Linked DNA regions of Canis lupus familiaris. The protein of the gene in region 1 purifies or fractionates together with the protein of each later gene. This does not show direct contact. Links are inferred from orthologs where the notes say so. Each region holds a gene or a part of one and is shown on either strand. Other genes may lie near its edges.

Region 1 (4,265 bases):
TGAATTGCTACCTCTGGTTCCACGGGTGTTTTCCCGATGTCTTTAAAAGCCATGGCTGCAGCTTGGCTCCCTGATGAACTTGTTCCTCTGGGACAGGGAACAGCAGTGAGTCAGGAGCTGAAGCTGGGTGTACAAAGTTCTGCTATTATTGCACCTGTATCTTCTTCAAAGAGCTAAAAATATTCTTTCTTTTAAGGTTTGCCTCCTCGTGTTAATACATGTCTACATGATTGCTTTCTTCTCTGGACTAACAGTATAAAGGGGTCTATTATTATTACCAGTGTCTGTCCATTTCTGGCACATAAGAAATGCTAAATGTTAAAGTCATTATGTGTTTTACAAATTTTAAAACTTATTATACATTTATTATCTCATTTGATCTTCTCAGTAATTCCTGAGCTTGGCAAAGTTGATTGTAGGATATTCACTCGGTTGGTGAACAAACAGGCGTCAACAGTGACTAAGCAAACCACGGTTAGTAGAGGTAAGTGATGGGAATGAATCCCAGGTCTTCTGACTGCCACTCTTTCCTCTATATCCTGCTGAAGGTTAAAGGTCACCCAACAGAATTACGCTGATGGTAAAAACAAGGGTGATCAATAATATTCGAAAAGCAGACTGTGTATAAAGTTTCTTTCCACTTCCTCCAAAACCCATTCTATACTGGGACACTACTTTAACCTCCCCAATTTAATTCTTTCTGGTAAGAATCGTGGGCTGGGGCGCCTGGGTGACTCAGCCAGTTGGGCATCTGCCTACTGTTCAGGTCACGATCCTCAAGTCCGGGATGCAGCCCCAAGTTGGGCTCCCTGCTCAGCGGGGAGTCTGTTTCTACCTCTGCCCCTCCCCCTGGAGAAATAAAATTAAAAAAAAAAATGTGGGCTAAACCATTTGATCTTAAGTCACATTCCCCAAACTCCACAGGCTACCAAAGATCAACCCTTACTGAATGATGGAAGTTTTACTATTAAGAGGAACTCTCTTAATACGGTAAATGTCAGAGATTTTTAGTTTCAAAGCGCTTTTCAAATTTCAGACCTCTTGTCTGATGGATTCTTTCTACTTCGCCTCTATTCTAGGTTCCATCATTGTACAAAGGGGAAAGCCCCGGTGAAGAAGCTAACTTCAGGAAAGGGCCGGTAGTCCGGGTCTACCATTCTGATTCCGGGCTGTTTCTTTTTGCACCAGTTAAAGGGGAATGAGGCCACACCCACCTCGTGAGGACGGGATGCCGCGAGGATTAGGGATTCGAGGAGGAAAAGCGACTTGCAAACCTTCATTCTAAACCCATAAGTAATCATTATTAGTTTTGCCAATACAATATGAGCTACTTAATTTGGGGGGGGGGGGGGAAATGGTCTTCCAACCTTAATTACGCAAAGTTCCTATCGCCCGGGCGCCTCTGAGCAGCTAGAGTCCGCCTCCCCCCACGGTCCTCCAGGGACCCGGGAGCGGAAAGGCGCGCCCGCAGTGACGCATTTATCCCGCGCGATGACGTGGCTGCCAGGCGCCCGGCGGCACGTTGGCCAGGCCTTGGGCGGGCTTCAGGGGGCGCAAACATGGCTATGGCCAGCGATTTCTACCTGCGCTACTACGTAGGGCACAAGGGCAAGTTTGGACACGAGTTTCTGGAGTTCGAGTTTCGGCCAGACGGTGAGCAGCGGAGCGGGGCGCCGCCGCCGCCGCCGCCGCAGCCTAGCGCGATGCGCGGCTGGGGGAAGCGGGGCGGAGAGGACTCGGAGGAGGCGGGGTGCGGTGAGCCAGCGTCGGGGGGCTTGCGAGTCTGTCGTGGGGGCCGAGGTCACGGCTAGAGCCGGAGTAAATACGAACTGAAGACTCTTCAGAAGCAGAAGTTGGTTCTCTGCATAAAAGAAAATTCACGGGTGTAGATGAATTCAGAAAATCGAATCCTGCCAGGTACTGAAAACTTGAACATAGGATAATGAGAATCCCACGTTCAGCGCACCGGAAGAGACCCTAATGCCATCTAGTTTACTTGACGTCATCCTTGAACATTTTAAAGAACATCCCACCACGCACTGGCCCAATGGATGCTTAAAATCTTTCGGGGACCGGTGATTCTCGGACTCCCCATTCAACCATTGTATTCGTTCAGGCGCTGTCTGTAAGGCCACGTGTCTAGGAATAGGAATGAGACCCACTCTGAAGAAGGAAGCTCCACGTATGGAAGAATGGGTATAATGATGTGGTTTGGGTGATTAAATATAGTTGTTCCCATAGGATGCGTTAAGAATACAAAAGAGGGGAATGGTTAGGGCTACATGTAGGCGTCGAGGAAAGCTTCCTAGAGAAGGTAACGTTTGAAATTGTAGCTGGTATGCAGGGCTATTCTGGGGTTCCCAAACAGACCAGATTGGGGGCGCAGCCGCTGATAACATCCAAAGGCAGAGAATCTACTGTTGGTGAAACAAGAAAGGAATTTAGTTCAGAGAGGCCGGCACCAAGGAGACCATGGACTAGAGTCTCAAACACTCTCTCTACATGCCAAAATGCCAAAAATACATGCCAAAAAAAAATGAGGGGCAAAGGTGCGTTTGAGATCATGGTGGAGGTAGCCCAAAACCTCTTTCAAGATGAGTCTTGAAATGAGAATAGACTTTTTTTTTTTTTTTTTAAGATTTTATTTATTTATTCATGAGAGACACAGAGAGGCAGAGACACAGGCAGAGGGAGAAGCAGGCTCCATGCAGGGAGCCCGACGTGGGACTTGATCCCGGGACTCCGGGATCACGACCTGAGCTGAAGGCCGACGCACAACCGCTGAGCTACCCAGGCATCTCGAGAATAGCTATTTTCTTGGCCTGTGAGGGAAAAACAACAACAAACATTCAGACCGTGGGAAGCAGCATGAACAAAGGATAAGGTGGAAACTGCTGCCTTGTAGGTGCAGCATATTTTATGTTTTGAGAGCCCTGATTCTCTTTAGAGAGTTATTGTATATTGAACTCTCCTTAGAACCAGGACAGTCCACCTGCATAGATTTTTCTGTCTTTGAATGCCCGTTATATGCTGGGCAACATGTAAAATACAAAAATTGAGGGTACAATAATGAGCAAGTCTCTTCAACTTCTCTGAAGGAGTTTTGCTTTGGGTAACAAAGATGTAAAACTAGCCATAAAACAGTGTGGATATTAAATGATGTGTTATGCTTTGGACAGAGTTCTGTGAGAGTGAAAGATAAAGCACAGAAGCATCATCACATATTAGAGAAGGGGGAATAGTATCAGACATAAAAAGAAACTCAAAGTAACTACAGCCCTGCAGTTCAGAAACCTTAATCACTATTCTCCTATGTTCTTGCCATGTCTCTTCTAAATTTAGCTAAGGAGCCAAATTTACCTGAATTCTCCATCTAATCTTTTCTTAGGTGATACTCCTTTTAGTGCTTTTGCCTGTAAACAGCTTTCAGCTTGCCTAGATCATGTTTAGTCACATAAATTAAGTAGTCTCATTTATCAGGGAGAGTTCATGCCAGAACAGTGGTTTTCATCCAGTTGTCTGCCACCACACCATTCCATATACTTCCTTCAGTGATCAAGGGTCACTGCACTAGGGTAACCTATCATTTTAGAGATCAGGACCACATTACATATGTATATGAACAACTGACTATAGCTATGAGGAGAAGCATGCATCAGGGAGTACAAAAGTCATGGATTAAAGTTAAGTGTAGGTCAGCTAACAAACTGGCCGACTTTTATCTAGAAGCAGTACATAGTTTTGTATCTTAGCCACAGTGTTAAATAGTAGCATTGCCATGCATAGATTAATTTGAAGGAGATAATTAAAAGAACACTTTGGAGTAGTGGGGAAAGCAGGAGTATTGGAAGAAGGTAGACCTAGAACTGAATCTTTGTGACCCTGGGCAAGTTATTTAACTCTGTTTTCTCAACTATGAATAGTTGAGAGAATAAAACCTTTTAAGGGTTGTTTTACCGATTAGATCTAATGCTCTGGGTAAATGACTTAGGGCCAATAGAGACCTATTACATAGGCTTTAAAAAAAATGTTAATTCCTTTTTCAGAGTCCCTGTTTAGTTCATGACAGCTTAGGCAAATGAGCCTTAAAAATGACCCCTCTATTATATTGAATTATATTGAAGGCATGAAATATTTAAAAATTATGTTAAATACTTTAAAAATCTATTGAAGGCGTGAAAGTTTTGAAAATGACTGGCTTCACCTTTAGCCAACTTTTTACCAACAAATATTTGAGTGTTTACAGGTCTAGCATTGATCTTATG
Region 2 (4,435 bases), on another chromosome or scaffold:
TCCCCAGCCTCTTCTTTCTCCTCTTCCTTCTCAGGGTGTGTGTATGGTGGGGGTAGGGGGGTCACATCCGGGGCCCAGGGTTGGGACCCAGGCAGGTCTGCTGGGCACATAATAGCACAATTGAGTTTCACTTCCTGTCAACCCCCGAGCTGAGGCAAGATGTTTGGGGGCACAAGGAGGGGCCTAGGGTTGGTGACTTTAGGATTCTCTCTTGCAGAAAGGTCCATTGATCCATGCATCCCTCTAGTTAAAGGCTTCATTACGCATTCTCACCTCTAATAATCATTAATAACAAGACTAAGGACAAGATGCTGACCCAGTGAGGCTGAAGCCCAATTGTTGCAAGAGAGCAGGGGTTGGGGCACCTGGGTAGCTCAGTGGTTGGACGTCAGCCTTGGGCTTGGGTCGTTATCTGGGCATCCTGTGTCTCTGCCTCTTTATGTCTCTCATAAATAAAATAAATACAGTTAAAAAAAAAAAAAAGACAGCAGGGATTAAGAATGGCAGTGTTAGGGATCCCTGGGTGGCACAGCGGTTTGGCGCCTGCCTTTGGCCCAGGGCGCGATCCTGGAGACCCGGGATCGAATCCCACGTCGGGCTCCCGGTGCATGGAGCCTGCTTCTCCTTCTGCCTATGTCTCTGCCTCTCTCTCTCTCTCTCTCTCTGTGACTATCATAAATAAATAAAAAAAATTAAAAAAAATATTTAAAAGAATGGCAGTGTTAGAACATTGGGAATAACTGTGTATTGAGTGCCAATCAGTGCTTAAGTGAATCTTTTAAAAATTTTTATTTATGTATTCACGAGAGACACAGAGACCCAGGCAGAGGGAGAAGCAGGCTCCCTGCAGGAAGCCCGGCGCGGGACTCGATCCTGGGACCCCGGGGTCGCGCCCTGAGCCGAGGCAGACGCCCAACCGCAGAGCCACCCGGGCGCCCCTAAATGGGTCTATTTGGGACCTTCTGAGCGGGGCCTCTGGTGCGAGACAGGAAGGTGGAGGAGGGGATGGACGACAAGCGACGACCTGAGAAAAGTTCAAAGCTTCCTATCAAAGTTTTAGGAAGTTAGGCAGTGCTCTCGCCTCTCTCAAGCGCGTGCGGCCTAGTGTCGGAGGTAGGCCCTGAGGCCGGGCCCTCGCGGTGCAGGGGACGTTAACGTAGCGTAGTCCGTAGCCCGAAGCGGGGGCCTGGGGGTCAAAGATCCGCAGGGAAGGGCAGCGCAGCGGGAGCGCGGAGCCAAGCCCCAGGAGAGGAGCCTGCCGCCGGCCGCTCCCGGGCTGCGGGGCGACCTCTGGGTCCCTCCGGGGAGCGGGAGGCACCGGCCGGCGGGCGGAGGGAGGGGCCCTGCACGCGGCCGGCTCCAGCTCGAGGCCCGGCGCCCAGACCTGCGCCAGGTTAATGAGACTCTAAGTGGCTCCGCCCAGAGGCCTCCGCCCTGCCCTCCGACCCCGGGGCCGGCCCGAGGAGGCCGCCGGGCCGGCCGGGGATCTCGGCGGCAGCCCGGGCCGTGCGGGGCCGAGCGGGCGGCCCCCGACAAGGCCGGGCAGCCGGTGCGCGCCCGAGGCCCCGGGGCCCGGGGGCAGGGTCCGGCCTGACCCCTCTACCGGCCCGCGCTCCGGGTGCCGGTGGGCCTTGCCCCTCTTCCCCGAAGGCCCCGGACGGACGGAGGGGCCGAGCCCCGGAACTTCTCTCACACGGACCAGGCGCCCGATATTGGTATCACTGGCCCTACTAGAGCCTCCGGCTTTTATTTTATTCAAGTCTTTAGCTTCTAGCTGCCTTTAGTCTTCAGCTTCTCCGCCGCCTCCGTCCACGAAATGGTGCACTCTCCCTTTAAGACTAAAATGGTGGCTGGCTGCGATCTGGACTCCACTTCCGGTGGGGAGGGGGGCGGGACCCCAGCCCGCTCACGCCGGAAGTGGTTTGCGTTTTCAAGATGGCGACTCCCTATGTAACTGACGAGACCGGCGGTGAGTGCGGGAGGCGCGGAGCCGCTTCTCCCCGGGCTCTCGGGGCAGGGGTTCGGACTTGGAAAGGGGTCTGTGCCCCGCCCATCTCGGGGCCCCTCCTTTTGCCCCGCCCTCCGGACCGCCTTCCCCATTCATCCTCTCCTGTGGGGTGTCACCTGCGCCCCCTTCTGGTCTCGCGTTTGGGGGTCCCTGCTTCCGGTCACCCAGACCCTGGGGTCCTTCAGTGAGGTCCCTGCTCCAGGACCCTCCTAGGCCCATAGCTTTCCTCCAGCAGCTGGAGATCCCATATCTCTCTTGGCTGCTCCAGGTGTGGGAACTCCTATACTCTCAGTTCCCTCCAATTCCAGCTTTACTCCGGCTCCCCTCCCCCACCTGGCAGCTGTACCTGCCCTGTGCCCTACCCCAGCCCCGTCTTGGTTCTCTTCCTCGAAGCTCTATCTGTTAAAGACCTCTTCGTTGCCATAGAGTGCTTTTTCCATTCTCTCCCTCGCCTTCATTTTTGGGTCACTGAGGTTCAGAGGTGTGAAGGGAAGAGGAATCGAGTATAACTTTCAGCTTGAGTTTTCTTCTTGATGGCATCACCCTTCTGTACCTTCTCTGGTGGTGGTGGTGATAAAAGTCGAGGGAGCTGAGGTGGAAGAAGGCAAACAGGAGGTGTCTAAGTGGCCTCTCAAGCCCTGTGACAAGTTCATAGAAGCCACGATTCTGGCTAGAGAAGAGTTTCCGGCCTGGCTGGTGGAGATGCTGAGGTGTATGGAGGTTGATGTGTTGAAAACTGGAAGTCAGTATTTTCATTTTGGTTTTGTCCCATCCTGATTTCCTCATCTTTAGAAAAATGTGCCTAGGAATATCTACCTAGTGACGATCAAGTAAGATAGCATATGTGAAAGCAATTTATAAAAAGCTGTACAAGGCTAGGTGTTACTGGTTTTTGTGGCCTTGGCTGTGTACATGCAGTCTCTTGTAGACGTGACACTGTGTGTGCTGCTGTGCTCTGAATTGTGCCCTTTATGCTTCTTGCTTTGCTACTTTCCATGTTCCTTAGGTCTCAGCCCACCTCTCCTGTGGTATCTTATGACAAGCCGGGTCTCTGCTACTTGTCTCCAGCCTCACATTTCAAAGTGGTGCACAGAACCTCTTCTGTTCTCTACAGAAGATCCTTCTTCTACTGGCTCCTTTTAATGTGAGCTTTGAAAATATTACTTACTGTTCAGTGTGCTTTTCTTTATTCAACTATTTTCTTAAAACCTATTTCACAAAAATCCAGATACCACATTTCACTCTACTCGCCCACTAAGAGTTATCTTCTGTTCTCTGACTATGTAGAAGAGAAGGAATAGCACTGCTTTTTTTTTTTTTACTTTGTCTTACTACTTCCAGATCATTGACCTACCACTGTCATTCTAATCTTTGTGGAAGGTATTGCCATGCAATTATAGCATTTTCTCTAAAATCTCAGGGCCATCATTTATTGCCCATAAGGACCCAGACCTGTTGCATCACTTTTTTCTCCACTGTGTTTCTTGCTCTTTTTTTTTTAAAGATTTATTTATTTATTTATTTATTTATTTATTTATTTATTTATTTATTTATGATAGACATAGAGAGAGAGAGAGAGAGAGGCAGAGACACAGGAGGAGGGAGAAGCAGGCTCCATGTTGGGAGCCCGACGCGGGACTCGATCCCAGGACTCCAGGATCGCGCCCTGGGCCAAAGGCAGGCGCCAAACCGCTGAGCCACCCAGGGATCCCCTGTTTCTTGCTCTTATTCTCAGTATCTCCAGCATCTTTGAAATATTCTGGTCTTATAGTTCCTCAGCACAAGATGGTTGACTTTCCTTTGTGGTTTTTTTTGTTGTTGTTTTGTTTTTGTTTTCCTTTTTTTTAAAGCTTTATTTTTTTTTTAATTTTTATTTATTTATGATAGTCACACAGAGAGAGAGAGAGAGGCAGAGACACAGGCAGAGGGAGAAGCAGGCTCCATGCACCGGGAGTCCGACGTGGGATTCAATCCTGGGTCCCCAGGATCGTGCCCTGGGCCAAAGGCAGGCGCTAAACCGCTGCGCCACCCAGGGATCCCTGTTTTTGTTTTCCTGAGCCCAGCTGAAAGCTTGCACTCAGGACCCTGAGATCAAGACCTGAGCTGAGATCAAAAGTTGGCGGCTTAACCAACTGAACCACCCAGGCGCCTCTCCTTTGTATTTTTAACGTAGCTACACATCAGGGGCGCCTGGGTGGCTCAGTCAGTTAAGTGACTGAGTTTTGGTTTTAGTTCAGGTCGTGATCTCAGGGTCATGAGATCCAGCCCCACGTTGAGCTCTGAACTCAGCACGTAGTCTGCTTGTCTTTCTCCCTCTGCTTCTCCCTCTGCTTGCTATCTCTCTCTCTCTCAAATAAATGGATAAAATTTAAAAAAATAAATAAAGTAGGTCCACATCAGAATCGCTACAATTAAGACCTACTCTGT

What was found. Proteins that work in one complex are often made in the same cells at the same time.
Region 2: the proteins of MAGOHB (region 1) and PYM1 purify together in Homo sapiens (co-immunoprecipitation; 3 studies listed by BioGRID and IntAct, with this or other methods). This does not show direct contact. The link is inferred for Canis lupus familiaris from reciprocal best matches to the Homo sapiens genes MAGOHB and PYM1.

What each region holds. Positions count from the first base shown.
Region 1 is NC_049248.1:11,017,109-11,021,373, reverse strand, and holds the start of MAGOHB (protein mago nashi homolog 2), read left to right. Parts: upstream 1-1,465; 5' UTR 1,466-1,559; coding exon 1,560-1,653; intron 1,654-4,265. UniProt on the Homo sapiens protein: Required for pre-mRNA splicing as component of the spliceosome. Plays a redundant role with MAGOH in the exon junction complex and in the nonsense-mediated decay (NMD) pathway.
Region 2 is NC_049231.1:615,928-620,362, reverse strand, and holds the start of PYM1 (partner of Y14 and mago), read left to right. Parts: upstream 1-1,552; 5' UTR 1,553-1,935; coding exon 1,936-1,969; intron 1,970-4,435. UniProt on the Homo sapiens protein: Key regulator of the exon junction complex (EJC), a multiprotein complex that associates immediately upstream of the exon-exon junction on mRNAs and serves as a positional landmark for the intron exon structure of genes and directs post-transcriptional processes in the cytoplasm such as mRNA export, nonsense-mediated mRNA decay (NMD) or translation.